Caenorhabditis elegans: one gene and its partners. The protein of the gene in region 3 interacts with the protein of the main gene of each other region in a pairwise test. Each region holds a gene or a part of one and is shown on either strand. Other genes may lie near its edges. The genes, in order: rnf-1, ceh-18, sdz-12 and ztf-15.

Region 1 (5,327 bases), on a different chromosome or scaffold from region 3:
GTGCTTCTACGGGTATTAGAGGAACATCTCCAGTGCCTGTCGGAACACTGAATTTAATGGAAAATGCATTTTCACGAGTTGTGAGCAGTGAAGATATTGTTGCAAGCGGGAGTTGAGCAATTAGATCCACTGCGTAGCTGAGGATTTCGTCCTGAAATTAGATTTTCGGTTTTTTAAATAACGCTCGAACCAATTTCAAATGGAACATTGTGAAAACTATGTCATGTTTTTCTTCTGAATTACAGCAGTTTTTACCAAATTCGAAGCATCAAATTTAGCGAAAACTGCTGAAATGCAGAAAAAATAGACAACATTTTTGTAGCTTTTGGGGGGAAATTTCGAAAAATGACATGTCGGTTGAAATTTTCTTTATTATTTATTTCAAGGTTCCTGGATTAAAATCTAAATTTACCGGTTCTCCTCGCCGCTGAACTTTATTGAATAATGTCTCCGCAAACACTGAAAATGGGAAATCTCCGGATTTTGAGTGATAAAATCCACGAATGAGCTCTCGCATGAAAGCTCTGAGCATTTTCACGCAATTTTCCTTTTCTTTAAACAATTCCTTCGATATTATTACTGCTAGAGCTTTTGTGGCTTCTGTTGGTTGATTTTGAAGGATCATATAAATTGTTTGTAGATTGGTGGGAGATCTATTTTGTGCTGGTCCAGTTTCATTAATAAAAAGTGAATCCAATACAATTTCGACATTCCTTGACACCTCACAAATCGTTTTAATCGCTTGAGTGAATGGTCCAACCACAGTTCGTGTTTTCATATTTTTCGTGTTCAATTTCAGTAGAATATCGATGATTTCCTTGTCCAACTCGTGGTTTTCCGCGTTAATATTCGACCCGATCACTAGCAAAAGCTCACTGATTTCTCGATGGAATTTCTGAAGAGTTATCCAAATTTCCAGACGGTTCGCAATGAAAAGACGAATGTGCTCGTAGCCACAGAGAAGGCAGAGAGCACGGAAAAGAGGTTTTGGAAGAACTTCACCGCGAATTGTGTCGAACCAGGGCTTCAGGAATTCCAGAAAGACGTCTAACTGCTTTTGGTGAAGATTCGAGCGGGGACTGAAATCAAAAATGTATTAAAATTAAAATTTGACTTATTCTTTAAACTGTTTTTTTTATTTCCACTTTTCTAACACAGAATAAAAATTTCTTCTGAGATTTTGATAAACTTTAAATGCTTTTCAGCTAGTATTACACCGTTGTTTGTAGATGCTGCTTTTTGTTTCTGTTTAAATTAGGAAAAATATAAGCGAAATTTTTTCTAAAAAATCGTAAATTTATTACCTTTTTTCCCTCGACTTCCCCACTTTTTCAGAGAAGAAGCTCAAAAATTCGGAAATGGCAAAATTCTCAACCTGGCACTGCGCATACATTGCCGGAAATGGATAGACAGTTTCAAACGGATCCAAAATCATTTTCACAAGCTCTGCCGAGCACTCTTTTTCAATCCAGGAGCATCGATTCATTGTGCCGAGTCCAACGCTCATTCCAATAGAATCATGGAGAAATGCTGTTAGATAACATTTATCAAGAATTGGTTGTTGCCTTGCAAGTGAAGTGATTATTGAGATGAATAGTTCGAGAATATTGTCAGGATATGATCGAGAATTGCAAATTACGAAGAGCAGAGCGCGGTGGAGAGGAATTTGCTGAAAATTTTTCAATGATTAGAATTATTCTCCAAGTTTTTGTTAGATTTGAACCAACATTTAGCTTATCCCCATGATTTTTTACGGTTTCCGCAATTGTTCCCATTATTCTGAGCTCCACTTTCAACTTTTCTCCGACAAAGAAGCTCTTGAGCGCGGCGACGAACATTTTAGCGATTTTTGTAAAATGGCCCGCTAAAATCGCCTCCTGTACGCTTTTCTGGAAGGTTTCGATGTTTAAATTGATTGTATCTCCAAAATCTTTCCATTGATCATCGAGATTGGGGCGAACGAGATGGCTGGATTGTAGGGATGGATTTGCTGGAAATTTGTTTAATTATTAGGTGTTTTCTGGGAAAAATTGAAAATTTTTACCGGAATTACTTAGCGTTGGCTTTGGTGGAATACAAGTTTTTGATCTAAAATCCAACTTCGCTTTAACTCCTCCAGAAGTTGACGGTCCGCCAGTGCCTCCACTAGTCGTCGGGAGTTTATGGTTCAGTTTCGCCTTTTTCATGTCCTCCGGCTTCATAATCGTATCATTTAGGCGTTTGTGTTTTTTACGTTCCATTATTTATAAGATTCTAAACGAGAAACTCTTAAGATTTTCCGGAAAATAATGATAAAAACGGTTGTGAAATTGAATGAGAATAAAAAAACGAAACAAGCACGAGTGAGGCAGGTGCGCTCCAATGCGAATTTCTTTGCGCGGATGTTTAAATGGTTATTTTTTTATGGGAATCGACAAGTCACATGCTACGCTAGAGAGAGTTTTACATTTTACAGTCTTTTTGGAATTTAATAATATATATATTATCATAAAATCGAATAAAAATTGTTTCGAATAATGAATAGCTTTGTTTTTTCGTCTTGACTTCTGAAATAATTTTAAATTTGAGAAAAATTTGTGTCGCAATATATAATTATTAATATTATTAATAATGTAATTTTTTTATAATAAACTGATTTATATTTTAAAAACAAAAAAGGAATGACAATTCAGTTTAGTTTTATGAAAAACTTTGAAAAGACAAAAATAATTACAGTAAACGCGCTCCGCTAGACTCCCCAAATTTGTTTTTGTTTTCCAGGCTTGTGTCCAGGCAAATTCCAGCTTTCTTTTTGTTTCAGAATTTCTAGGTATTTATCTCCGTGAAAATGAGCGGTAAGATTGACAATCTCGAGTTTGTATTAAAATTTATTAAATTTCATTTCAGAAAAAAATACCGAAAATCCAGAAATTCTATCAACAGTCTTGGCTGGGTACTGCCAGTGCCAAGTCTGCTATCAGGTACTAATTTCCTAGTTTTACTCAATTTTCTACAAAATATGTTTGCAGCCTTTTAATGAAACCACAAAATTGGCTCGGTCCTTGCACTGTGGCCACACTTTCTGCACAGAATGCATCAGAAACGTGCAAAACTACGGTAATTCCCCACATTTAGAGTGCCCTACTTGCCGTGCGGAAACTAAAAGCAACATCGAAAATGTAGCACCAAATTTTTCAATTATGGGTAAGTTTTACCTCTTTTGAGTATTGAAATCCACGTTTTTTCTCAGAATTGGCAAGGAATTTCGGGCTTCTGGGTCCTCCAGTTGACGCTCCGCGAACTTCCTCTAGTTGCTGCTCAAATAAAACGAATAGAGATGAAATGATTGATAATAAATTCCGCGAGCTGCTTGTTGAAGTAAAAAGCAGTCTCATTCACCATTTTGACGTTTTCCGCATCAAATCACAGCTATGGAGTCTAGGCAAAGCCAAATGTGTATAAGTATTTTCTATAAAAACTGAATTTTTTCAGCAGAAGCCGAGCGAGAGGTCAGCAACATGGCTGAAGCCTTGGCAGGGGCTGTTTCTGAATGTTATTACGATTCTGACGACAATTCTGATGCGAATTCTGAGGATCAGCGAGTTCGAACTATGCTAAGGTTCTTGGCAGCAAGAGTTAGTTGATATTTTCCATGCTCCCTTGATTTGAAAATTTTCAGGACAGCGATTCTGAGACTACAGAAGACTCAACAGATTTTCTAGAATCAAATACTACTGTCCCGGACAGAACACTGGGTGGCGGTTTCTATCGCAATTTTCGTCGTCTTTTTGGAGACGTTAGTTTTCATCGAGTTAAACATTTAGAATAGAAAAAATCTTTCAGGAAAACGAACTAGATGATCCAGGTGTGGTTTCAGGTATTGAGGAGGCGGCCGCCTACCGACGTTTTCGAGGACTTTTTGGAAATGTAAGTGTCACTGTCGACAAGTTTATATTTTAGAAAAAATGTTTGCAGGACAACGACAGCATTTCGCAGGTTTCCACAACTTCCGGCAGTTTTGGGAATCATGAGAATGATCATTTTTGTCCGTTTTCCGATGACGTTAGTAGGACTTTGAATTCGATTGTTAATCTTTTTTCTAATTCAGGATAATATCTCCGAATGTTCCGATGACTACTATCCCACATTGGTTATGCCTGAAACAGATGAAGAGGAGACGTACAAAAGTTTTCGCTGCCTTTTTGGAGATGTATGTAAATTTATTGTCAGACGGCTATTTTTTAAACTAAAACAGCTGAAATTAAGAAAAAAATTCCAGGAAAACGGGAACCTCGACTTTTCCGACGACGAAAAAGAATTCTCCGACAATGAATCTTCACTCAGCTCAGTTTCCACTGAAGACTTTCCGAATTCGCACATAGAAGAAGCCGGCAGAGTTCTTCACAGATTTCTTCTGCTCTCTGCTCTTCTGAATGAAGAATAAATTACTATATAATTCAATTTTATCCCGTCTCCGCCTGAAATTTTTGTATTGTTTTACATGTTTTAATAGAGAAAATAAAGATCTCTTCTTGTTTTCCCCTGAAAAATCTGTGCGATTTCCTTTATTTTATTTTCGCTTTTGTTTCTCTTCAAAAGTGTTTTTTTTTCTCATTCAAAAATTCAGGACTTTCAAGGGAACCACATTTATTTGGAAAGGTCTCGCCGCGAAATCATAATTCAAACATGGTTGTTCATGTGCCTTTAAGATTACTGTAGAAAGTTTTGGAAGAAGTTTTGAATTTTTTTCTCCTTTCTTTCCCAAAAATCACCTACTTAATTTAGCATTTTCAGCCATAAATGTCCGCAACAAAAAGTGAAATGCCTGCGGATGTGGCATCTGTAACAGGTAATTTTTCGTTTTTATAAGATCTGGTTCCAAAATTCGAAAATTCCAGATAGTTCGGCTGCGTCGCCTGCATTCCCGCTGATAGGTGATTTTCTCGAGGAGTTTCTCAAATGCCAAGTCTGCTGCACTGTGAGTGCCCCACTTGTTTTATTGTTCAAAAATTAAACTTTCCAATTTAGAATTACAATGAGACGACAAAGCTGGCTCGTGGTTTGCATTGCGGACATACGTTCTGCACGGAATGTATCAAAACAATGCAAAAATACGGAAATTCGGCGTATTTGGAGTGCCCGTCGTGTCGCGCGGAGACTAAATGTGATATCGCGGCTGTTTCGACCAATTTTGCGATTATGGGTGAGTCAGGGAATGAAAAATCGGTTTCAATTCATTTATCGCAATTTTATAAATATTATGCAATGTATCCTTGCTTGTATTCTAAAACGAAATGTTCTAAAAGCTAATTTTCACTATTTTCTCCAGAATTGATTCGAAAATGTGG
Region 2 (5,661 bases), on a different chromosome or scaffold from region 3:
AATGTGAAAATTACATTTCACATCAACACGAGTGTACGATAGAAATGTACAGTTTTTTCCCTTTTAAATGCTCATTTTCAACGCAACTCGCTCTTTGCCAACTCAATCTCGAAATGTCAACTTTTACTTTTGGCCGCACATTGTTAGCACGGTGAATAGTCAAATGAGAGTCCATTTAGTCATGCCCCCCCCCACGCTTTCCACGCGCCCCTTCATTTTTCTCCGCCATTCACCAACTTTTTTATTCATTTTTCCTTGGGACCATGCAACGACTACATACATGTCCACCACGACTTCATTGTGATTATTCATAGAGCCATTTGGCTTTTTGGGGGGAGCCGGCCAAACGGCATTCTTTCGCTTGCATAGGCAAATGTCGTATATCCAGAGTGTCAGCAGGGCAGGAGCAGCGCTAGAAGCACCGTCGTTTCAAATCGACGCCATCTAATATGCATATTTGAACAACTGCGCGGTTTTGCCCACAGATCTGGCCGCCGCAATGCCTTTTTGCCTTTTACTGGCTAAACATGAATCCGACCAGTGCGATCATCCACATTTCCTCGTTTTACAGTACAGCTGAAAACAAAAAAAGATAATGGAGCTTTTGAAGGAATGGGGACTTTGTAGGAAAAGATAATAGATAATCAAGAGAAGTACATCACGTTTCGAATTGCCTCAACTTTAGGGCTCATGTGTCAATGCTCATTTCGTTAAGCTGATGACCTCTCGATATCGCATCTGTTTCTCCATGTTTCATTCATACTACTACCTATTCTCCGTCTTATCCCTTTTTCCTTCCCAATTCTTTGTCTCTTTCTTGCCAAACAGAACAACACCTCCCGAATCAACATTTTATCCCCCCACAATCAATCACTCAATAAAATCCATCAAAAATCTTTTGATAATCAAAAATGCCTCGGTGCCTGACTGCCGAACAAGCCGGCGGGGCGTCGTCTTTTTTGTTAGCAGTTGTGTTGTCTGTCATCCTACGTAATTTTGTGAAGACTCGAATTCATGAGCCAAGTGGTGCTCAAAAGACTAGGTAATGAATGTGTAGTGTAATGGCCGGGAAGAGTGAGCCTCATACACAAGATATCATATCATCTTATCTCCAAGATGTATTTCGAAGAATCTTTTTTGAATATTTCACATTCTCCATTTTTACAGAGCTAACTGTTTTTTCAGCTTCAACTAGAAATTTTCTCAACAGTGAGAATGCAAATACTTTCAGAAAATGATGTGTAAGTGACAAACATAGGCACTCTCGGAGCTACAGAACCAATTTCTCTTCTTATCATATGCAAATTTGGCGTTTTTTAATACTCTAATGTGTTATTCAAAGCTTATCAGTCAAATTTTCTTTATGATCTCATACAGTTCGGCAACATCGAAGTTTAAATTTCAAATTAGGACGCGATAGATTTTACCCTAGTTTCGTTCCTAGATATTAGAATAACTTAGATAATAGAAGAAAAGTGATGCGAAAAACAGGGACTCGAAAATTGTTTTAAACAAAGTGTCCTATGCGAAATTCACTTCATTTCTTTTATTTTTCTCTTCCTCTCCCACATTTTTCGTCGAGAGCTATCATAACAAGAAGAGCTGAACGCGATGCAGCAGTAGCCGCAGAAAAATCAGATCGAATCATTAGGCGCATGCGACAATTGGCTGAAAAATACTGAGACACAAGTCGCACTAGAACGCTTGGCTGTCAGCTAGTTAGGTGCCGCTCGGCTTTTCCTCCCCACCCCGAGAGTGGTTGATTTTATGCCAATATTACAACTTCTAGGGTGGCTCATTTTCCTGAATCGCCGATGCGATCACCCTCGTCGGCAATGAGTGGCCCCCACGCGTTTCGCTTGATCCATGCCGCCGATTTGCTCACATGAAACACATTCTTCATTTTCTTTTCTCAATTGACGGAATATTACATTTTGTTTATCTCGATTCTCTTTTCTCAGTCAATCTTTTCTGATTCGTCATACCTTCATTCACCTTCCAGCTTATACAGTTTCGATTTATTTTTAATTTTCATCTATCAAAACCACATTCTCTGTCGGTCTTATCCAACAGTGTCTCTGTTTCAGACGTAAAAAGTCTCTATCATCATCCTCACAACACATATCATCAATGCAAGAAATATGAACACCTTGGAGAACACGTTTCAATTTCTCGCAGAAGTATTCGGTAGGTGATGCTTTATCAATATCCGTTTCTTTTTCTAATTGTCGACTCTTCGGAGTCTGGTCACAAATCAAGCGCGTTGCTGTAATAATTCATTTTGACTGATTTTCGTGAAAAGCTAATGACAACGGTATGTTATAGGCGATGATTGTCTACCTGGACGCAACAATTTTTTAAAAATGTTGGTCAGATGCTCTTTTTTTGCAGTTTTAAAATCCAAATTCACTTGTGTAAAAAAAAAAAAAAATTAGGCGTTTTTCAAAAATTGTATGGGTTTTTTGATGAAAAAGTGAAACTTTTTGCACTTTTGAGCAAAACAGTTTTGTTGGGTTTTTTCTTGTTTTTTGAGCCTGAAAATGAAATATATGTACATTAAGAAACTAATTCATGTGTATACTAAAATCGAAATGGTATGTATAAAATAATTAAATATTTTTTGGAGTAGCAAACTCAAAATTATCAACTTTAGTTTTAACAACTCCAGAAATAACTTTTGAGAAAATAAGGGTCAAAAGTTTTTTTGAATTTTTGAATGCATTTTTCTGTATAGAAAATTGTCAGAAATTCAAAAAATTATAATACTTGCAAAACATTAAAATAAATTTTGGATACTCGATATGAAATCACTTCAGACAAAAATTAATTTCCAATGTTACGCTACCAGCTTTTCAAAAAAATTGTAAAAATTTAAAGTTTGACGGTAAACATTTTCCAAAACTCATTTACACTTAAAAAGCGGTTTCATAGCGCTAAAAATTTTACAGTAAACATTTTGAAAGAATTTTCAATTTTTTTACAGTCAAAGAGTGGTTAAAATTTAGTTTTGACCTAACATTTTGAAAACATGTATGTAAGTGTAGCAATGCTCAAATGTTTTTCTTGAATTTTCACCAAAATAATTATGGAGTGTTCTATTTTGATATTCGGCCATCTTAGAGTATTATAAAAATTGTTAGAATGAGTTATTTGACAATTACATTCACTGAAACGTTGATCAGTTATTAAATACTGTAAGTTGATTTGTAGAACAATGTACACAAAATAAGTAACTCCAAATTATCAATTAAAAGTTTATCATTTCATTGAAAAATCACAGTAGTGAAAGTACTATCAAAACTTGATCTATTGATCACCGTTCCGTGTGTCCTTATTTTCGCGTTCCACTACTTACACAGATTAACTCAAGTTCAGCGTCGTTGATGTTAGCTTTCGAAAAAAAAAACTTCTGCGCGAATTTGATTGGCATCGTGAAAATGAGATAACATGTTCTGATTGCTCAAAAAAGGAACTTTTCTGACTAGATGCTGCTCCATATTTCTTGTGCACATTTTTCAGAAGCCAATGGTGGTTGCCTTGTCACAGAACGTGTCAGTCCATCTTTGTCGGGAGCCAGCAAACGAAAAAGTCGACCGGTGAAGAGGATCATCACTGAAGACGAAGTAATCCCAGAAGAAGAAGTGGTCGAAGAAGAGGAAGAAGAGGTGAGTCTTTTGAAAACAAACTGCTTTCCAATTGGCTTTTAAAGTTACCTTTTTTCTCAAATACGTTTTTATTTGCAATCAGTGAAAAAAAAAATTTAAGCTGTTTCATAAAACTTTATATATACTAAAATGATTAAAAAAGCTATGAAAATAGTTATAAAATACCACACATCTAAATTAGTCAGTAATGTTTTTCCACTCTCATCGGACCCAAAATCAGACCTTTCCAATTCAACTCGGCCATCCCAGCCCATCGCATCCATTTGCTTTCTCAAGATGAAGCAGTGCAATGAAAGTGTGGGATAATGCAATAAAGGGGTGGCTAAAAAGGAAAAGAGATGCGGGTATCGAGATAAGCAGATTCGGGAGTTGGCCCTTGTTTATGATGTAGGACAAAACTAAAAGTAGGCAGAGGAGAAAGCCGAGCCGCGTCGTTCTGTGTTTTCAACTTTTCATATTGGTCCTTTTTTTAGGCGAAATCTTGGGAAATTTAGTGATTCGTCAAGATAAAAATTTTAATTTAAACTGTTAATTTACTGTTCTGGGCATGATCCTATTTTTTATCTTTAATCATCTTATTAGGGAAAAAACAATTTTTAGTTTTTAGTGCAAAATTCCAAACGAACCAGTTTGTTGCCTGTCTCAAAAATTACATTTTCAAATATGGATAAAAATTTAAACCATCGTCTTATTTAAAAAGTATTTTTTTAATTTATTTTTTAACATAGATTTTTACTGTTATTGTTAATGTGTACATATTATTTTATTTTACTCTTCTGTATCTAGAAATTCTGCATAGTTAATTTTAAGAAAGGGCTCGAAACAGTAAGATTAACATTTTTGAATAAATGTTCTAAATTTTATTTATTAGAACTTTTAATGTCTATTTTCATGACCGTTTCATAAAGAAATAACTAAAAAAATATCGTAAAAATAACTTTAGAAATTGATTCAACTAGATATTCCTTATCATTTTTGACCGAAAAGATATTTGGAAAAAACAGTATTGAGATGACGGTCGCTAACTATTTTCAGCGACTGCCACTGTATATAAACTGCTTCACTTTTTATACATACCTTTTTAGCACAAAAGTGTATTTTCTAATTACTAAAATTTGTTAAATTTCAAGCCTTTTCTTCTCACGTTTTCCAACTTTTCCCACGCTGTAAAAATTTTTTGTTTCGTAGTATTTTAATTTTGGATTAAGGTTCAGTCAGGTCATTTTATCATTTTTTTTTAATTAAAAAACAAAATTTTTGAATGTATTTTCAGTTCTTTTTTCCTTTACTTTTGTAATTAATTTTCATAACTTCTATATTCACATTGAAATTGTATCAAACTACAGCAGCTCTGAACATTTTTGAGCATCCTCAATTTTTTTTCAAAATTAGAGACCTCTGGAAATAAAGAAAGTAGGTTGGCTGACCCAATCATGCTGCAGCATTTTTCAATAAGTATCATGACCCGTCGGTCGCTGAGTAATTGAATAAGTAATGAGCATCGTCGTTTTGGTCCTGAAAATGGAGTCGACGACGACGACGACAAAAAGATGAGATCTTCCTTTACGGAACGAAAACGCCGGCGGTCCGTGCTTCGCGTGTGTATGGGTATGAGAGAAACGACCCCACTGAATGACTCGAGTTTTCGACGAGCACTTCCAGATTTGCTTGTTTTTCACATCGTTCCATTTCTATTCCCCTTAGTTTTTCGTTTCTTTTTTTTCAATTGCCTCAGATTTATACATAGCTGGAACGAGAGGAGAAATATTTTTTGGCGTGTGCCATTCTACGCCCGTCCACCCATTTGGAACGCTTCTTCTTCTTTTTTCCCCCATTTGGTCCCCTTCTCAATGTTTTTTCTGTGACGACTGGTAGCACCCACTCGGGCAGAGATTCCACTCCATCCGTTTGCCGATGCAACATTTGTTGCATACATAAAACGGGGAAAAAGCCGGGGGAAAGCAGCGGCGAAAAAAAAACGCGGGAGGGAATTTGA
Region 3 (4,790 bases):
AGAAACTCGAGATCTCAGTTTTCTCAGACAAATCTCGATGGATTGAAAGTTGAAAAGGTCTTGAATAGGGAGTTCACTGGGAACAATAATCTGGCTAAATACCTGCCATGTGTGGAAAAAATCAGTATAGTTGGCGGAAAGTCTGAATCGAAAAATGATTGGACAACATTTCACAACGTTTCTAACCTTGCGATCTTCTTCTCTGTGACTCTTAACGACCTACTATTGATGAACAATCCAGTGATTTCACTCCATGCTACCCCGTTATCCAATTCCAATTTGAAATTATTGATCAAGCTCTGGGTTAAAGGCTTTGAATCCAGACCTTGAACTTTTCATTTTCTACATTTACAATGATTATCCCCACTCTAGCCCAGAGCTACTAATGCCTAATTCAGCCGAGGAATCTGATGTTCATGGCATGCGTGCCTATCGAATTAAAAACATTCATGGAACTTTTTCTATTTGGAGGTTCTGATTTCTTTATTCCATCGTTTTTTCTAATCAACACTACTTCTATTTACGACGACGACGACGAGTTACTGTCAAACACCGTCCGACGATTGAAATCTTCAATTTTTTCCAGTTTTTGAGATTTTTTTCGAGTCTTTCGAATTAAGCTTATTTTCGAAACCTCTAACTTCTTATTTTTCTATGTTTTTGAACTTCACTTTTCAAAACTATATTTTTAAACTCCACAAAATATAACTATGTATATGTCTTATCAAAATACTTTATGAAATGCTAGATAAAAGTTTCTTGAATTCTTGACTTGACTTTTTCTGGTTTGGTCTGGTTCATGATTTGAATTTCTTCTGTAAGTCTTCAAATTTTCTCATCAATATAATATAAAGAAAACGTAAATTTATTTTTTGTACTGGCAAATAAAACTTTACAATTGAAAACAGAGAAAAAATAGTGGCCAAAAATCAGTTATTAGAAAAATGCAATTCATATTTGAAAACGAACAATTTTTAAACTTCAAGAACTCGCTTCAAGACCCGCTTCATCAGGAATGGGCTCATTTCATCAATGTTTCCAGCGATAATTGAGCGGACATCTTGGATGGTTTTGATGGTGTTGCAGCAGTGAATCTGGAAGATAAAATAAGGTTATATTCAGGTGCACGCACTTACCTCTAGTTTCTCCAACTTGTATCTAATTGCCAATTCCAATTTCTTTTTCCCGGACTTCTCGGACTCCTTGTAAAGAAATTTCTCGCATTTCCCAATAACCGCTCTAGAATCGTACATGTCAGCAAGTTGAAGGATTCCTTCGACGGTATTGTCTGAAATTTTTAAATTATTACCAATGTGAGCACTAAAAACTAACCATCAATCGAGTCCTCCAAATAGAGAACTTCCAAAAATGCCTGGAAGGCTTCCGGGTCTATCCCAGAGAGGGTAACCTCTGATTTCTTCGACTCGCCGAAACTGCCAAAGAACAAGGATTTGAAGTAGGAGCACTGCAGAGCGAGATGCTTTCTCAGAACATGAAATCTCTGCTCATCCACTACCAAAACCACATCGGACAGCTCTCCCATAGACTCATTGTCGAACTTCAAAACCGGATCTCTTCCCTTGAACCCAGAAGCGTTCAATATTTGAACATGAACTTTAAAGTGTAGCGCATCTTCAATCACAAAGTTTTTTGCGACTTTCTCCCAATCGGCAAACTGCTTCCATCCCCATGAGTTTTCCTTCGGCTTCTCACTATTGAAATTTACAGTGGCTGTTTTGCAGTGGGGAGATTCATTGGGAGATCTAAGCTTCACTTCAACATTCGCCTGAACTGACCAAATTGTGCCAAGTTGGTCGCAACTAAGATACACCTCAAGTTGATCAGTTCTTCGATTGACATGGAGTTTCCTGGAAATATAAAAATTTAAATAAAAAAAGGAAAGTTAAAAATACCATGGAATATAGTAATATTCTTTAACCTCGCTGCAATAAGTGGTATCCGGCTTGAAGTTGGAGATTGCTTTAATAGTGTAAGTTGACACAAATTCCTTTGTTATAACGAGCATGTCTACTAACCTACTAAATTGCAGAAAAATGACGAATAGGAAGACTTGTAGAGGCAGATTATGAGTGAATAACGCTAGGAGATAATCTTAGTGGATCGATAAAATAATGCATAATGCAGCGTCTCGTTTCCCGGCAAATTTGGCACAGTTGGCAGCTGGTCTTCCAAAAATGTTGTGAATTTTGTTAAAGATTACAATATTCCCCCCAAAGAAGGTGCATCGTCAATGGAGAAATTACTGAAAAAACTGAGATACTGAAAAACTCAATCAGCTCTACAATGTGCAATTACACACATTTCATAAATTCGTCGGCCCCGCTTCTCCAAAAGCCCCAACGTCATATGTGACGCAACTTCTCACAGCTTTCGAGGACACAGTCTTTGAACTTATGTACCTCTTTTTGCAACTACGCAAAAACATTTCTCACTCCCCTTCCTCCCTGCCCTCGGACAATCCGCAGAGATTTCTTCTGTGAAAATGAGTTTGTCATCACTAGACGCCGTATTGTCGCTTATTGCAACCTCTTCCACTTTGGATCAGGATTCTGCTAAGGTGCCCCAGTGTCAAGTTTGCAAAAGAAAGTTCGCGAATCAGGTTAGTTTTTGAAGTGAGCAAAAAAGTGTTGTTAATTTATCTTAATTTTACAAAATTTACTGTACAGCAGATAATCTTCCTTTTTTTGCTAGTTAGTATATAGAGCTCACTACCATTTTTCAGAAAACGCTGAGAACGCACATGAAGCACATTACGTGTAGGCCTGGACGTTCCAATGTGGTGAGTTTTTGAGAAAATGTTTAAGCCACTGAGCTTCTCCTCCTCCAACTATACGTTTTTTCAGGTCAATCACAAATTCAGATGTGAAAATTGTGAGAAACAATTCACCAACAAGCCAAACTTGAAGCGTCATCAAATAACTCACTCTGGTTCAAAATCCAAGAAGTGCAGCACTTGCCAGAGAACATTCTTCAGGGAAGATCAGGCAAGCAGATTTTATTCCATTTTTCCTGTTCAATTCCAGCAATTTGTAATTTTCAGCTTCAAAGGCACCTGCACAACCATCTCAAGGAAAGATCACATTTCGACTGTCCCGTGTTGAACTGTTCAATGCAGTTCGTATTCTATGAGGGCGTTGAAAATCATCTCGTAAACCATCACCACTTTTCATACAGCGAATCGGCTCCGTGTGGAAAATGCCACAAGTTATTCGGGAGTCCTAGGCATCTCCTGGTACACTACCATTTTGATCATAAAGAGGTGAAAAGCTTTATAATTCTTTAAGACTTAACAATCCTTTCAGGCTCTGCGCTCTTCGGCTCCTGCTCCCACAAGCTCCGCCAGACTGTCACCTATCACCGTATCAACTTCAGGAAGTCCCAGAGCTCAGTTGGCAATCTCGCCACAAGAGAAGCCGCCTCAAAAATTGAGCATAAATCTAGGAACTTCCCCGATGATCGAAGAATTCTGTGAACAGAACTCGGTATGTTTTCATTTTCAATATTGGTTTTGGTGCCGTTCTTTGAAACCATTAGACTTGAAATTTTCAGGCAACTCTTCCAAACACTGATCAACAGCTCTCACCAACTCTAAGCCCCAATGAGCCAAGGTTTAGAAATCTAATTACCAGTGAGCCAACCCCAAGCTTTGTAAGTTCTTAAGTTTCAAAGTACACTTTCATCAACTCAAAAGCTCTTCAGGAATGCAAGCACTGCACGATCAAGTTCCACGATGCCACAATGAGCATCATGCATAACGCCCTTCACGCGCCAGGAAGCCCATTCAAATGTGCAATTTGTGGAGCAGAATGTGGAAATAAGATCGTGTTCACCATGCACATCATCACTGCGAGTCATGATTTTGGTGGCATAGGAACTTAATTGATAAGATTCTACTGCTTAATTAATATTTTTTCTTGTTAAAAGTACTCAATGAATCTCGTTCTCGCCCTTGAAGGAAACTGATAATTGTTGATAACTACGGTAACCTACAGTACCCTATTCTATCGTGATCACTGATTTTATGGAGTAATCAAACAATTAGTTGGTCTTCAGAATACAGGACTGGTAGATCAAACTACGCATAGTTTCTTTTTCTATCTACATCTTCTTCACTCTCCTTCCCATTTGCTCTCTGCCAATACCGCGCGCCAAATCGATAATTGCGCCCCACCAAAACACTCTGCGCGGGTTCATTTATTCCTTCACCTCTACTCTCTTATCAATGGACCTGCCTGAAGCTCAAGCTCTTGTGCCAGTTTATTCTCAGGTACTGTAAAATTTTCACAAATTAATTAATAAAGGATCCATTTTTTTTCAGGAATTGCGCAAGGTGCAACAGTTCAAGTAATTACATTCTCAGAAATCTCTGAGCAATCACATACGGAACACCAAATGTGGACTTGGGCTGTCTTCTTACGAAGACGTTAGTGCTTAATAGATAGCGTTTGGCATCATAATCTATCTATCTCTATCTAACTCTATCTAACTTATCTATTTCAGAGGTACACCTGCGAATTCTGCGGATCGAAATACAATTACCAAAGAAGCCTGGTCAGTCATATGAAAAGTCATCTGGAAACTGAAACTGCCGCTTCTCCAGCTCCTATGCAGACCAACTATCTCACGTGTCCTATTGGTCAGTGCGAGATGAAGTTCAGTTCGCAAAAGATACTTCTCGAACATCTTTTCTGTCGCCACATAGGCCAGGTGCAAGAAGTGTAAAGCTCCGTTCGCCAGTGTTCAAGGACTCCTTGCTCATTTCAAAGAGA
Region 4 (6,348 bases), on a different chromosome or scaffold from region 3:
GCAGAAAAGATGGTAACCCTCCAGACCGTTCCACAAGCATATCTTCCAACTATTCAACTGCTTCTGCAAGAACATCAAAGAGTGGAGCTGGATTGGATTTGATGGCGGAAAATAAGTGTTTGGAGGCACATGCTATGTTTTCCGACACTGTACATCTTGCTAGCGAAAAGACAATGGTCCTTGGCGATGATTCTGTCTTCGTTCCAGAAAGATCTTTAGCTACTACGCAGATAGTTACTGACTTTTCCGTGCTCTGTGATCCTGATCCGACAATGACCATTACACAGGAGCGTCCGAAAAAAGTGTCGAATGGGTTGAATGTTGTTTACGATGAGGCAGCCGAACCGGAAGAATCTCAGAAAGTTGAGGAATCTGAAGTACAACCCGAAATTGTCCTAGTTTCTCCAGTGACGCAAACCTCACCAGCTACAATGTTTAATGATAGTGGGTTTATCGAAAAATATAACAACTTATGTTTTAATTTTTAGTTTATGACGATGAAATCGAGTTTGGCTTTTTCAAACCGTCTCGTGGTAATTTCGTCACATCGACCCCCGCACAAGGAGTTCATTTGGTCAACATTGATGAATATTTCGGAAATAAAGAGGAGGAAAGCACTCACGAACAGGAAGCTCCAGTATTTGTTGCTCCAACCAGCAGTACTTTCAGTAAATTAGTAAGTGCCAGACAAATTTTCGACATACTATTCAAACTTTTTCAGACACGTCGAAAGTCACTAGCAGCAAATCAAGCCGTTCAGCCCTCAGTCACAGAGTCATCAAAGCCTGAACGATCAGATCCTAAAGATTCATCTATCGATTGTTTGACAGCTAATCTAGGAAGACGTCTTTCAATTGGTGCTGATGAAATTCCAAATCTCACTGAAAACAACGAATCTGAAATCACTGGTTGCAAGATTCGTCGGCGCAGTGAAATTATCAAGCAAGGAGACATCAATCCATGGGACGAAACTCTTCGAAAAAAATTGATGTGTCTTGTGCGTCCTCCCCAGAATATGCACGAGTTCCAAGAACGAGCACCGAAGATTCAAGCTCTGAGAGACTGCGAGGTTAGCGGAGAAAAGCTCCACATTCAAACTCTTATTGGTCAAGGTGGATACGCTAAAGTATACCGGGCTGTAACCGATGATCAAAGGACAGTAGCTGTGAAGTACGAGGTGCCATCATGTTCGTGGGAAGTGTACATTTGCGACCAAATGCGGAATCGCCTGAAAGATCGAGGTTTGGAGCTGATGGCCAAATGTTGCATTATGGAAGTGATGGATGCTTATGTTTATTCAACTGCTTCGCTTCTTGTTAATCAGTACCACGAATATGGAACGCTGCTTGAATATGCGAATAACATGAAGGATCCGAATTGGCACATAACCTGCTTCTTGATTACCCAAATGGCCCGAGTTGTGAAGGAAGTCCATGCCTCTAAAATTATTCATGGAGATATCAAACCGGATAATTTTATGATCACCAGAAAGTATGGGAAAACATTTGTTAATTTTAGACGTTATCTTTTTTCAGGATCGATGATAAATGGGGCAAAGATGCTCTGATGAGTAACGACAGCTTTGTCATCAAGATTATCGACTGGGGACGTGCCATTGACATGATGCCACTGAAGAACCAGCGTTTCAAGGGAAGAGCAGGAACAGAAGCGTTTGATTGCCCGGAAATGGTTGACGGTCGTTCTTGGACTTACCAAGCCGATTACTTCGGATTCGCCGCAACAATGGCTGTCGTTGTTGCAGGAAAGTATGCACAGTTGACTGGAGCTAGCGTTGGAGACTATTCGTTAAATGTCGACATCAAGAGGCGCAACATTCTTCGCGATGCTTGCTACGATGTCATTAACAGATTCCTCAACATCCCTTCGTGTGATTCACTTCCGGACTGGAATATCCTGATCAAGTCTTTCTCGGAAATCTGGAATGAAAAGTTTGAAGCATCGGGATGGCGACAGGCGGTTTCCAAGTTCAATGAGGCCTGTGATCTTGCCGCCAACCAAAAGTAGCCCAACACAATGAATTTGTATTTCGTGCTCTTATTGCTCTCTTTTATTGTCTTTTGTATTGATATCATGTGAATAAACTCGTTCGGAGCTTTAATAATTGTGCATCTAATTTATTTCTGGTAAAACAAATTGAATTAAACGAAGTTTTCAGTTTTTGAAAGCTTTCCAAATTTGAACGTGATATTCGAGATTGGGCGCGGCGAGACCCATCACGGTAGAAATTTGATGCGCCTTTAAAGGGAAGTATTGCAATAGATCACAGTTAGATCTAAATAGTTGCACATTCGTTTTGTTTCATCAACTGTTTTCTTCGCGTTTTGCATAAAATGTGATATTTAAAAAAGAATTTAGAAAAAATTACAATTAAAATATTTTCCAGCCATCCTCTTGTAAAAATGGAAGAATCAGATCAGACTGTGGTGAGCGCTAGTGTTTAATCAACTTATTTTGCAAAAAGTTTCAGCTTTTACCAAATGTCGAAAATGAAATTGGCAGTTTTTATCATGACATGCCTGATGAAAAATTGCTTCGTCATATCAAAGCAATTTTCGACGAAGCTTCACTTCGACCATCTTTGGTATTTAATCTTCATTGAAACCTCAACATAAAGTTAGAGTTGTAGACTAAAAACGTGCCATCCACATCTTCACAAGTCACAGAGGAATTGAATAAAGTTGAAATCAGAGATCCAAAGCATGAAATGCAAGATGAGGTTGAAATATAAATTTGGTAAAAATGCTGTATAATTTTCGAATTCCAGCAATATCTTTCAATATTCGAAAATCCGTCCGGAGTTCAGTACAACCAAGCTGATGGCTCATTTTCGTGGAATAATCGCTTCCATAGTGTAAAAACCAACTGTAATTCATTTTCTAATGAACATTTTCAGGACAACAGCGTCCAATACATAAACGTGTTGAACAACTATGGTTGTGAAGGTGCTGATACACTATTAAATCAGTCAGACAGTAGCGATGAAACCGATGAAAGTATCGAAGAAAGACGGACCCCACGAGGAAACCGGCAGTCGCGTAGTAATTTGACATCGAAACCCTCTGCCAAATATTGGACAAAAAGAGGAGGAGATCCAATTGTTAATTGCTCGGTTAGTTCATTTTAGTTCTATATCTCATTCTCTGTAAATGAACAAAAACCTTCACTATTATCACTATTATACCATATCACTATTATAGATTTATTTATTACAACTTAAAAGTGTGTACCAACCATCAAATTTCTCAAAATCTAAAGCATAACATTCTGAACATGATTTTATTCTTCAATTTCAGTGCTCAATATGTGGATCCAAATTTTCAACCATTCGCTGTCTTCTTGATCATCGTCATCAAGAACATTCACTGAAAGATATGATGATGTGTGGTCTCTGTGGAAAAGAGTTTTCGAAGCGAACACATATCTATTTGCATCTAAGTCAAGAATACAAAGTATATCATTGTGACGGTTGCAATACATCGTTTGCCAGCAAATGGCACTTGGAAAAGCATCGATGTAAGGAAAATGAAACAATCGACGATAAAAAACGAAGAAGAACGGGACGTGTAAATGCGGAAGAAATAAAAGTAATAAAAGAAGAGATTCAAGATGAAGAATTTGGTGGCGTTGTTTTGTCTAATGAGAATCATGAAAAATCAAAAGAAGACCGTTTCCAATTCGCTTGTGTATTATGTGGAAAGAAATATCAACACTATCATTGGTTGCTCAAACATAGAACCAAATGCTTGGAAACAACGGACGAAATTCAGGTGGAGAATGTTTAGTGAAACGTTTTTGCGAGAACTTCACTAATTGAAAATATAAACTAATTTAACAGATTATTTTTTCTTGTTTTACAAAAAAAAAATAAATTTCAGTCAGAGATGGGACATAAACATTGTTTTGCAGGAATTCAAGTGCAATGTTTGCTACCGAAGATACAATTCGAGTTTTTGGTTCGAACGCCACATGGAAAAGTGTAATTCATCTACTGCACTTCCTCCTGCGCTTTTAGATCAAACCATAAGCTGTCCAAACTGTCATAAAAAATATCAAAATGAATATTGGTTTGATTATCACAAGAAGCATTGTCCAGACATTACTCCAGCTCTTTCTGATGTACATTTGGATGTCAACTCGTTGCGGGACAGACGACCACGTGAAGGAGAGATCAGCGTGGTTCCAGATGTCAATTTATTTGGTATAGAACCTGAAAGAGAAGACGACAATGACGATGACGAAGATGCTGATGCTACCATTTCATCCTCATCTTCTTCGACTGGGAATTTGGTCAATATTCCGGTAGATTACTTCATTTCTTTTAAATCTTTTTGTTTGGTTAACATACTTCTTTCAGTAATCATGTCTTAAAATCTAAATTATCACCAAAGAATGTAAATTTAACATTTTGAAGTGAATGATTCATATGATAAGATTGTATTAAAAGGGAATACGTAATAGGATTACTGTAGCTGTATCTGCAATATTGCGGCAAAAATTGATTTCTATTGAAAAATTGAAAAATTGAAAATTGACAAAGGTATCATTATGTTTTACAAAATTGAAGCTCTAAATATGTTGTTCTTACATTATAAGTTTTCAGTGTTCCATCTGTGGAAAGTTCTGTGTCGGTGTTGCAAGTCTTCTTCATCATCGGAAGCAAATTCATGGATTGACTGCAATGCTAACATGTGGTGTGTGCACGAAAAAGTTCAATACACTAAGTTCGATTCGTCGTCATATGAGTATGGAATACTCAATCTTCCGTTGCCAACAATGTGGCCGAAACTGTATCGATCGAACCACTCTTGACCGTCACGAATGCTTCAAGCCATACAAGATCCGAGATAAGAGACTTTTCAATATTCAAAATATATCAGTTCTCAAGTGCCCTGACTGCAGAGCAACTTTTGCAAATTTGAATGTTCTGTCTGAACATCGCAAGACGTGTCAATACGGCAACGTATTTGATAATATTCAACAACCGGGAAGTTCTTCTTTACGACAACATCACAGGAGCGATACAAATGGAGCCGCGTTGCAGAGAAAAATCACATCCCGTGTTCGTCTAGATTCGAATACTCCAGAGAAATGGACGGTTTGTTAATTTTCCTAATTAAAAAATAACGTTTGAGAATTTATAATTTCAGTGCCGAGATTGCCACGCCTCCTTTCATAACCTGCAAGCGTTGTGCTCACATCGACACGAATCTCACGGAAAAGAAATGTTTCAATGCAACAACTGTTCTGAAACCCTTCCAAACTATCGTGCTCTCCATGATCATAATATGATGGTAAGTTTATATGTAATGAATTTATATCACATATGCTACAACATGACCAGCATTGCAGGAACAATAGATCTACAAATGAAACAACTACGAGAAGATATTCGGAAGAAGACATCAATTACGATTACATGGACAATGTACAAATATTCGTCGTAGAAGAAAGTGAAATTTTCATTCCTATTCAACCGCATTTCTCGAGAAAGTAGATAATTCTTAATACGATGTTATGTACTGCTCCCTTGTGCTTTATTCTTTACTTTTCAGACAATAAAATTTTGAACGTTCTGTCTTCTAGATTTAAACCTTCTTCAATTAAACTCCATGTTTACTATTATTCGTTCTTCAACATTCCACAAGAAGAAAACGTTTTGTGATTCTTACCAAGCAAAGGGAGTTCCTGGAAAAAACCACAGCGCGAAACCGTACTACTTGAGTGAAGTATCCTGCCAGATCCTGGTGTCTTATCATCATTTGTGCAGAGTAAATAGAAAAGAAGAAAGAAAGAAAGAGATTGTATTTACATAAGAGAGTCTTAATTACAACTTTATTCTTGAAAAAGAAGAGTTGATGATGATGATGACAGACACACCGTTTGCGTTTTTTGAATTGATTTGATTTTCTAGAGCCTGGGGCTTTTGGAAGGCAGTTTACTGATTGATAATGTGGAGGGTCGATCGCTAGAATCGAAAGAATTATGATGTCAACGAGACTTTCAGATTATATCAATTTCAGACGTGTGGAGCGTCGGGAGAAATCAACAGAATTTAAAGATCAACGGAGACTCGGCGCGCGAATCGTTCAAACAGAGAGTGAGAGAATATGATTGAGACTGAAACTTTAACAATTAGGAAAAAGGAAACTGAGAAAAACTTGATTATAAACAAGATATGTGGGGGAAAATACAAAACTATGAGAAATTATTTGTGTGTGCAGCACTGCTGAAAAAGATGATGGACAGGAGGAAGAAAATCGACGAGAGGTTTTGAAGGTCAATGGGGAAGTGAAGTTTTGTGTGTGGGGACCATGGAAATTTATTCAG

What was found.
Region 1: the proteins of sdz-12 (region 3) and rnf-1 interact in a two-hybrid assay, tested with the Caenorhabditis elegans proteins (one large-scale study listed by BioGRID).
Region 2: the proteins of sdz-12 (region 3) and ceh-18 interact in a two-hybrid assay, tested with the Caenorhabditis elegans proteins (one large-scale study listed by BioGRID).
Region 4: the proteins of sdz-12 (region 3) and ztf-15 interact in a two-hybrid assay, tested with the Caenorhabditis elegans proteins (one large-scale study listed by BioGRID).

The regions. Positions count from the first base shown.
Region 1 is NC_003279.8:6,008,971-6,014,297, reverse strand, and holds rnf-1 (RING-type domain-containing protein), read left to right. Parts: upstream 1-2,711; 5' UTR 2,712-2,827; coding exon 2,828-2,834; intron 2,835-2,886; coding exon 2,887-2,960; intron 2,961-3,008; coding exon 3,009-3,183; intron 3,184-3,229; coding exon 3,230-3,421; intron 3,422-3,471; coding exon 3,472-3,614; intron 3,615-3,658; coding exon 3,659-3,775; intron 3,776-3,822; coding exon 3,823-3,906; intron 3,907-3,954; coding exon 3,955-4,041; intron 4,042-4,087; coding exon 4,088-4,189; intron 4,190-4,258; coding exon 4,259-4,423; 3' UTR 4,424-4,516; downstream 4,517-5,327. Other genes in the region: ints-1 (Integrator complex subunit 1 RPB2-binding domain-containing protein), read right to left, coding at 1-151, 413-1,079, 1,305-1,669, 1,728-1,990, 2,045-2,240; C06A5.8 (RING-type domain-containing protein), read left to right, coding at 4,780-4,828, 4,878-4,957, 5,008-5,182, 5,309-5,327.
Region 2 is NC_003284.9:3,854,224-3,859,884, reverse strand, and holds the start of ceh-18 (Homeobox protein ceh-18), read left to right. Parts: upstream 1-2,087; 5' UTR 2,088-2,141; coding exon 2,142-2,187; intron 2,188-3,518; exon of another isoform or gene 3,519-3,519; coding exon 3,520-3,665; intron 3,666-5,453; exon of another isoform or gene 5,454-5,661. UniProt on the Caenorhabditis elegans protein: Directs gonadal sheath cell differentiation and function. Also directs gonad migration and plays a role in specifying the differentiated phenotypes of epidermal cells during postembryonic development.
Region 3 is NC_003280.10:3,729,262-3,734,051, reverse strand, and holds sdz-12 (Zinc finger protein sdz-12), read left to right. Parts: upstream 1-2,228; 5' UTR 2,229-2,503; coding exon 2,504-2,620; intron 2,621-2,743; coding exon 2,744-2,800; intron 2,801-2,864; coding exon 2,865-3,005; intron 3,006-3,061; coding exon 3,062-3,280; intron 3,281-3,323; coding exon 3,324-3,503; intron 3,504-3,570; coding exon 3,571-3,669; intron 3,670-3,720; coding exon 3,721-3,900; downstream 3,901-4,790. Other genes in the region: bath-31 (BTB domain-containing protein), read right to left, coding at 975-1,094, 1,137-1,288, 1,333-1,868, 1,914-2,026. UniProt on the Caenorhabditis elegans protein: Together with ehn-3, may play a role in gonadogenesis.
Region 4 is NC_003279.8:7,253,107-7,259,454, forward strand, and holds ztf-15 (C2H2-type domain-containing protein), read left to right. Parts: upstream 1-2,404; 5' UTR 2,405-2,420; coding exon 2,421-2,444; intron 2,445-2,488; coding exon 2,489-2,602; intron 2,603-2,647; coding exon 2,648-2,737; intron 2,738-2,785; coding exon 2,786-2,872; intron 2,873-2,914; coding exon 2,915-3,130; intron 3,131-3,314; coding exon 3,315-3,788; intron 3,789-3,927; coding exon 3,928-4,320; intron 4,321-4,621; coding exon 4,622-5,116; intron 5,117-5,168; coding exon 5,169-5,312; intron 5,313-5,362; coding exon 5,363-5,515; 3' UTR 5,516-5,593; downstream 5,594-6,348. Other genes in the region: Mitotic checkpoint serine/threonine-protein kinase bub-1, read left to right, coding at 1-444, 489-676, 722-1,491, 1,536-2,025.